Callithrix jacchus: one gene and its partner. The main gene of each other region encodes a partner of the protein of the gene in region 2 in a complex. Links are inferred from orthologs where the notes say so. Each region holds a gene or a part of one and is shown on either strand. Other genes may lie near its edges.

The links. Proteins that work in one complex are often made in the same cells at the same time.
Region 1: the proteins of MPP1 (region 2) and GYPC are in contact, whole or in part, in an NMR structure (PDB 2EJY), measured with the Homo sapiens proteins. The link is inferred for Callithrix jacchus from reciprocal best matches to the Homo sapiens genes MPP1 and GYPC. Residues at the interface, in NP_002427.1 of Homo sapiens: Pro81, Met82, Gly83, Ile84, Leu86, Lys87, Leu88, Leu100, Val130, Gln134; in NP_002092.1 of Homo sapiens: Arg123, Lys124, Glu125, Tyr126, Ile128.

Annotation. Positions count from the first base shown.
Region 1 is NC_133507.1:111,487,778-111,492,105, forward strand, and holds the start of GYPC (glycophorin-C), read left to right. Parts: upstream 1-1,443; 5' UTR 1,444-1,585; coding exon 1,586-1,625; intron 1,626-4,328. UniProt on the Homo sapiens protein: This protein is a minor sialoglycoprotein in human erythrocyte membranes. The blood group Gerbich antigens and receptors for Plasmodium falciparum merozoites are most likely located within the extracellular domain.
Region 2 is NC_133524.1:150,532,514-150,536,216, reverse strand, and holds part of MPP1 (55 kDa erythrocyte membrane protein), read left to right. Parts: intron 1-196; coding exon 197-340; intron 341-612; coding exon 613-691; intron 692-1,343; coding exon 1,344-1,429; intron 1,430-2,324; coding exon 2,325-2,393; intron 2,394-3,703. UniProt on the Homo sapiens protein: Essential regulator of neutrophil polarity. Regulates neutrophil polarization by regulating AKT1 phosphorylation through a mechanism that is independent of PIK3CG activity.

The sequences.
Region 1 (4,328 bases), on a different chromosome or scaffold from region 2:
ACATAATTAAAGAGAAAATAACTTTAATTATTTGTGAAAATAACATTTCACAACTTTAATTATGTGAAATGCAATTGGAAAGTTAGAAGGAAGGGGAGGAGGACTATTGTCCCACCTAGACATTATTGTATCTATTACCAAAAAAAAAAAATGAAACTGTTAAAGTCATCGTTGCTCGTTAGTTTATTAAATGCCTTTTCTGTTCCCACTGGGATTCTACCATCACTGCCTCTGTAAAACCCTGGCATGCAGGTGATCTTGCCTCCATTTTATGCATGAGGAAATCAAGATTCAGGGCTTCCCCACCAGGCCGAAGGCATTCTGTGAGTAGTTTACTTCAGATCAGCATGCCCGTGCTGCACATGGCAGTTTGACTAAAGATCTGTAAGCAGTGGGGGTTCTTCACGACCTAACAGAAGAGAATTGTGAGTGCTTTCCCACTGCAGCAAGAAGGCCTGGAGCTTGTGCAGCCCACGTAGAGGGGAGCAAAGCTTCTGCGCTGCACATCTCTAGGGGTCAGCCTCTCATCGTATTCAACACAGAGCACAGCCCCAAAGGCACTGCTCACACATTGTACAGACAGCTGGCCTGGCTCTCTAGATTGTGCAGGACAGGCCTTAATGGCAGAAGGTAGAGGAGAGGAGGGAGTCACAGAAGTGCTTGGGAAACTATGAAGTAAACAATGAAAAGCAGCACAGGACGGTTCAGACGTCACACAGGAGAAGTACAGGGTGTTCCCCTGGGCGGGGTTTTAAAACAAGGGCCTCAAATTCCTGGGCAAAATGGGCAGATAATGCTATGATACATTTTTTGTAGGTGGTGACAGTTGACTTGCATTTAACGAACCAAGGTATGTATGGAAATCCATGTGGAGGTTTTCATGTCAAAAGTAGAACAAATTCACAAACTCCACTACTTCTGGCAGCTTCAGACAAAGGCAATGGGAACAAATCACCTGACACTTGCCCAGCAATTCTTCCTGTTTTGGAATAATCTTTGCTAAACAGGCCATCCATGGGTACAGGGCTCGCAAAGGCCAACAAGACAGGGACTCTCCCCAGGGACAAATGCCCCGCGGCAGGCTCAGAGAGGCCACCCAGCTATCCAGCGGCGGCGCAGCCAGCCAAGATTTCAACACAGTTCTGCCCTATTTGGTCACCATCCCCGACAGTGTTGGGCCAGGCCATCATTTCACATCAGGGAGTTTTCCTTGCACTCCAGGGGGACTTCTCAACCACAACCTCTGTATCCGGTAGTGGCAGATGGAAAGAGAAACGGTTAGAAAAGCGTGGTTCTTGCGCAGGAAAGTTGGAGTACAGAAGAGTTCAGAAGTGGGCGGGTGTGTGTTTAAAAAAAAAAAAAAGGGTGGAAACCCCACCAGCCAAGTCTGCAGAAAAAAAATAAATGAAGTCTGCCTATCTCCGGGCCAGAGCCCCTCCCCTCAGCCCTCGCGGGAGGCGTGTGACCCAAGTGGCCGCTTCCTCTAGTCGCTGAGGGTCAGGAGCCCGGGAGCGCGACCCTCCCTCGGCCCGGCCCGGCGGGTCTCCGCTGCGTCTGCCCGGTCTGACGCCCAGGACCGTGGGCCATGAGCAGCCCCAACCGCACGGCGCCGCCCCTCGACCTCGGTGAGTACCCGCCGTGGGGAGGGGTCCTGGGGGCCCGCGGGAGGCCGCGGCCCGCAGCAAGCAGCCGGGGGCCAAGCCGCTGCCACGTACGCCCGGGTGTCCCGATCCGTGCCCGGCCTCTCGGCGGAGGAGGCGCCCGCGGGGCTCAGATCCCCGACTCCAGCCCCCTGTTCCCGGCGCCTGGGCTGCGCCTTGTCCCTGTCCCGCGTCCCGGACACCGTCGCGCAGCGTCCACGCGCCCGGAGCTGGAGAGGCCTCCAGCCCGCTCGCCCAGGGCGCGTCGCCGGCTTTGTGTTTCTTTGTGCGTGGCATGTGAAGTGTCAAGGGCCAGAATCGTCCCCCTAAAGAACAGTTAGGAAAGAGTCCACAAGTTGTGTCTGTGCTTCTGCCCAGCCTGAGGCTGGCGGGCGGGCCCGGGTGAATTTCAGGCAACTCCAGCCTTGCCCAGGGACGTGCTGGCTCCGCTGGGCGCCGCAGGGGCACACAAACGCGGGAGAGTCGCGGGCCTGAATCCTTTGGGGATTTGTAATTCCTCGCTGCTTGTTTTCTTTCTCTTTTAAACCGTCACGTTTTCTTGCTGACGGGAAATCCAATGCGATGAAAGTTTTTATAGGTGCTTGGAAACATTGCTGGGCCTCTCTCTGCCCTTTTCCTCTGCCACTGGGCTTTTGCAATAAAAACTACCATTTTATTTAACCAAAAAGCCGAATGCATGCCCCTGTTATCCCTCATCCTGGCGTCCGATCCTGAGAGTCTGTCAGAGAGGAGCTATCCTGAGCCTATCATGTGATAACGTTACCTTACTAACATGATAACGATATGGGTATTGGAGACACCAACTCTCTTAGAAGTCTTTGAAATCCAGAGGGCTGTGAGGCCTCATCCCTCACCCTGCCGGAGCTTGGCATGGATAAACGTGGCTTCAGTCTACTTGTGTACGCAGCACTGCGTGTGCCCATGGTTCTGCTTGGGCCAGCCTGGGAGTGAGGAACATCAAAGGTGCTTGGGAGTAAGGCCCCTGAGTGTGCACTGGGATCATCTGCACTGCCTCTTAGCAAGGCAGTCTCTCTTAGCTCCAGATTACTCATCTGCAAATTAGGAATAATACCAGGAGAGTCCTCATCTTAGCAGTAAGAAGTGTGTATAAATGGCTCCACACAGAGACGGACACACCCTAAGTGCTGGATCCAGGCCGGGCATCTTCATATAATTGTACGTGGTTTCCAGAGTTCACATGCTTTAGTGTGTTTGCGTATGTGTCTAACTTGAGCATGTATTTGTGTGTGTGTATATGGCGGGGCCTGGGTTAAAGGGACAGAAGCCACTGTCCTTATTCCAATTTAGGCACTGAGGAGGTGAGACTGAAAGACATCCCCATGTCTGAAGAGGATGGGTTTGCTAGACCCCCGCCCCGTGCCCAGCCAAGCCTAGCCCCACAAGCAGTTCTCCAGGACTCAGGTTTCTGACCTTCAACACTTACCTTGGGAGACATACAGCGGTGCAGCCCTTGCTGGCGTGCTATTACACATTAGACTTCCGATTGATTTATGGCAGGATCCCTGCTGTGTGGGAACTGCAGGGGGGTGGGGGGAGGCAGCTATTTCTTGCTGCTAACTCAGGCAGGATGTGTCTATATCCTGTCTCAGTTTATGTAGCTGCTCATTAGATCCAGAGGTTAGAGTGGAGAGGACCCACTTCCTCCAGGCAGGCTTGCTCTGCTCAGGTGGACTAAGTCCCAAAGCCACAGTTACTATGCGTGAGTCATGCACAGCAATTCGTTTACCTTGACCTTGGATGGAAGGGGTCAAGGCTCAGTGAGGAGACACGGCCAGGTTTGGCAGCTTTATATAGAATTCACCACCTCTGGCAGAAGCAGAGGATTCCATTAAGTATCAAATGAAATTCCACCTCAGCCATTGCTCAATTCCTCCAGATGTCACTGGCACTGGGAGTCACATGGTGCTTGCAGTCAGCAGCTGGACCTTTCCAAGGGTGCCTGTAGTTAGGCAAGTATTTCTGGGGACTTGCAGAGCTCCCTGGAGAGCAAAGGGGTGGGAAGTACAAGGCATTCTACGCACTTGCGGTGGGAACAAATGAACCCCTCTGCAATGCTTAGGAAAAGGCCCCTCAGTGCGGGTGAGAGGTTGGAGCATGCCTCTTCTATGACTCAAGTGCCTGTGTGAGGCCGCAGCCAAACCGTCTTCCAGTAACTGAGGACATGCAAAGGGCCAGCAAGCATGCCGTAAACACAAAACCAAACAAACAGTAAAGTTAACAGTGAACAAAGAGTTAAAAATAGGAGAAAGACACCTTCTCCCTACCGCAAAAGCAATTGCTTTATTTCTCGAGAATAATCCTTCCAGAAGTAAATTTGCCAATACAAATATTTCTTATTTTGCATAATAAAATGTATTTGATGTATTTTAGTTCATCTTGTTCTTTTCCATCAGAATATCTCTTAAACATGATACCTCAACACCATATATAGACTAGCCCATTCTTCCCAGGACTGCATAGTAAGAATTGTATTAATATATGAATGACCTTGGTATTTTATTTAACCAATTCCTCTTCTGCTGGGCATTTAGGCTGCGTGCAAACTTCATTTAATTTTTTAAAGCAAACACAGTTTTCCTGTGACAATGAGTAAGTAGGGTTTATGTGCAAGTGACTGTAAACTGTTAGGATAAATTCTCCTACCTC
Region 2 (3,703 bases):
CCACACTTGGATAACATGTCTATTAAATTGGAGAAATAAAACTTACAAACAGCTTCATGTCAATTCAAATGAGAATGAGGCCTAACTTATGAAAATAAGTTTTCAAAGCATCTTGAATGTTAGAATTGCAGATAATGCACTGACTGTGGGCCTCACTCCTGATTTCATACATTGCTCTGTTGTTTTGATTTTACAGGCTGTCTCACATCCATTGAATACTGTGACCGAGGACATGTACACCAACGGGTCTCCTGTCCCGGGTAGCCCTGCCCAGGTCAAGGGGCAGGAGGTGCGGAAAGTGCGACTCATACAGTTTGAGAAGGTCACAGAAGAGCCCATGGTAATCACTCATCATATTGTCGTCACGACTTATTCTCTGCCTTGTGAGTCCCTGGGCCAGAAGAGTCAATGCAGAAGGCTGCCCATGGAGTTATGGAATTGGCCAACTCCAGTACTGTCTCTTCATCCCCATCTCAAGTCCCTGTTCTAGTTGAGGACTATCCTGGGTATAAATGGAAAATACTTTTCCTGAGAAATTGCCATAAGTTCCTTCTAAAATAACCTCAGAAAGGGCTTAAAATAAAGCTTATTGTGCCATTGCCTTTATTTCAGGGAATCACTCTAAAGCTGAATGAAAAACAGTCCTGTACAGTGGCCAGAATTCTTCACGGCGGCATGATCCATAGACAAGGTACTCTGTGGGAGCTCTGGGGGGATTATTCAGGGATTAATCATTTACTCCGTGTTCAGTGGTGTGGGGCATGAAGTTTACAATCCTCCAGACTGGTAGCTCAATAACTGGCTCTGTGGAATCACTGCATGGTAAGATCTCTGTGTGAATTACCCAGTGCCACCATCTCTCTCGATATCTGAGTCTTCTTTCACACCTATTTACACCAATATTTTTCTAGTAAGTTAATACTTGAGCAATTGCCACATGCCACCCTTTCCATTAGACTTGGAAAGTACAGCAATACCATTTGGTAGCATTCTGGGGTTTGAGCTAAACAACAAAGAAACATGGAGCTTGCTGGTGACTGAGTACTTTGTTATTCTCTGTAGTATATATGTCTGTGTCATAGTCTGCAGTCAGTAGCCACAGTAGTTCCAGGAATTTGAGGCCAAGGAGGATGAGTGCTTGCCTTGATGCAGCAGCCCCTGGGGTATTCAAAAGGGCATTCCCATCTCTCCTGGTGGAAAGTTTTCAGTCCTGAGGATTTTACACGATGTTTTACAACATGCTCTAAATCCTGCTTTCTCTTCTATAGTATCTTAAGTTGCATTGACAGCTCCTGTTTGAAAACGTTTGTGCTTTTGTGGACTGATTTTTCATTTCATGGCAGGCTCCCTTCATGTGGGGGATGAGATCCTAGAAATCAATGGCACGAACGTGACTAATCATTCAGTGGATCAGCTGCAGAAGGCGATGGTGGGTATTCTCTATGCGAGATGAAGACCTTCCATTGTCTTCATGAGTGTTGATCCAAAGTATTTGTACCTTATTGAGGGCACTCTTTTCCCCTCTCGCCTTTATTCTGTGTAAGAATGATAATTTTCTGCCTTTATTTAGTAAACTTCTAAAGCAGAATAAGTAACCTGGAGCATCAGTCCGATATTCCATGAACTAATGCTAAATAAAGTAAAGCATATAGTAGAATCCGATTTTTGTTTAAAAAACATATGTATATGTATGTATAATGTATATAAATATTTGTGATGCTTTTATTGGTATGGGGAAAGGCGTGGATGTATATGCGCCACAGTTCATTTTTAGTAACTTCTTGGAGACTTTTTGGAGTCAAGAGTGGGGAGGAAAAGTCTTTTTTTTTTGAGAAGGAGTCTTGCTCTGTCACCCAGGCTGGAGTGCAATGATGCGATCTCAGCTCACTGCAACCTCTGTCTCCTGGATTCAAGTGATTGTCCTGCCTCAACCTCCCAATTTAGCTAGGATTACAGGTACCCACCATCACACCTGGCTAATTTTTGTATTTTTAGTAGAGACGTGTTTCACCCTGACCTCAGGTGATCCGCCCACCTCAGCCCCCAAAAGAACTGGGATTACAATAGGCGTGAGCCACCACGCTCAGCTCAGAAAAGTCTTACTTAGCTTTTCTTTGTTACTCTTTGTATGTCTTCATGATGTTATGCTGGTCTATGGGGCACATGACACTTTTGTATTAAAGGAGGAATTGTCCTACAAAATCTCAAAATGTAAAGATGGTTGTTGGGGAAAAAATCCTGGGACTTCGAGGAGGGAAATTACTTTATGAAACCTCAAATTATTAAACTTAGTTTTCTGTACAATTTTATGACTTTTTTCATAGAAAGAAACCAAAGGAATGATCTCATTAAAAGTAATTCCCAACCAGCAAAGCCGTCTTCCTGCACTACAGGTGGGTGGCACCATTTTCTCTGTTGTCATGATGGCAGAAGTTGGGCCATGTTGTCTTGTATTCTTTAAGATTTGATTATAAGGGATGCAAGTCTAACTTTTAAGTTTTAAATATGTCACAAGTGAGTAGCTGCTTGGCTCAGGGTTCCATTATACCCTGCCTGGTATTAATACAGGAGCTCATTCCCCTTTCCTCAAGGGAGAACACAGTGAAGACAGTAGTAGAGAATGAATGAGTCTTTGCTGCTAGTGATCAGATAGGAAGGAAGAGAGTAATCTTATTCTACAGATGGTAAGGAATCAATACAGCTCCAGGAGGAAAAGGGGTAAAGGGAATGAAGAGCTCATTCGCAGGAAGAAAACTACAAATGAGCATTGAGCATATGAAAAACTATTTTATTTTACCCATCATCAGAGAAATGCAAATTAAAATATGCATGAGACACCAATTTTCACCAAGCAAATTGGCAAATAATTTTTAAAATAGTAACAATAAAGCACCATGATTGACAGCAGCAAAGTAAATAAAGCACTTATTCAGAATTTGCTGAGGGTGTACCATGATATAAAGAGAAATGGTTCCCAGTTCACACACAGCTCATCAGCCAGTAGAGGAATAGATTGAACAGGGCCATGGCAAGTGTATAATTTTCTTAAGTCAACAAATTGAAGTTTTGGCATATGTGGGCATATATTCAACAAAGGGCATAAATCACAATTATAAAACTGGATGAATTTTCACAAACTGAGTACACCCATGCAACCAGCAGGCAGATCCAGAGACAGAACCCCCATGCATGTCTCCTGAAGGCCCACCGTAACCCTGACTTCTAATGGCAAGAATGACTTTTGCCCCTGTTTGAAATGTATTAACATTGAATTATACTGTATGAATTCTTTGGTGTCTCATTTTATTCACTCAGGATTATGTTTATGGGAATCATCGATATTGCTTCATTCTCATTCATTCATTGTATGAGCATGCTACAATTTATTCTGTCAGCTTTTTTGGTCTTACGTAGTGCTGCCATTAACCAAACAGGGTCTAGTTGAGCAATAGGTGAAGATTTACTGCCTGAAGGCCAATAAATTCACCACATTAATAGAAAAATGGAAAAAATCATATGATTTTTCTTCATGTGTTTGGTGCATACATCTATGCTTTTCTTTCGAGAGTACAATTGCCCGGCTGTACGATATGTATGTCTTCATCTTTAGGTGATATTACCAAATAGTATTCCAAAGTAGCTGAACCACGTTACATCCCCAACTACACAGTATGACTGTTCTGATTTGTTTTTTAGTTTTTGT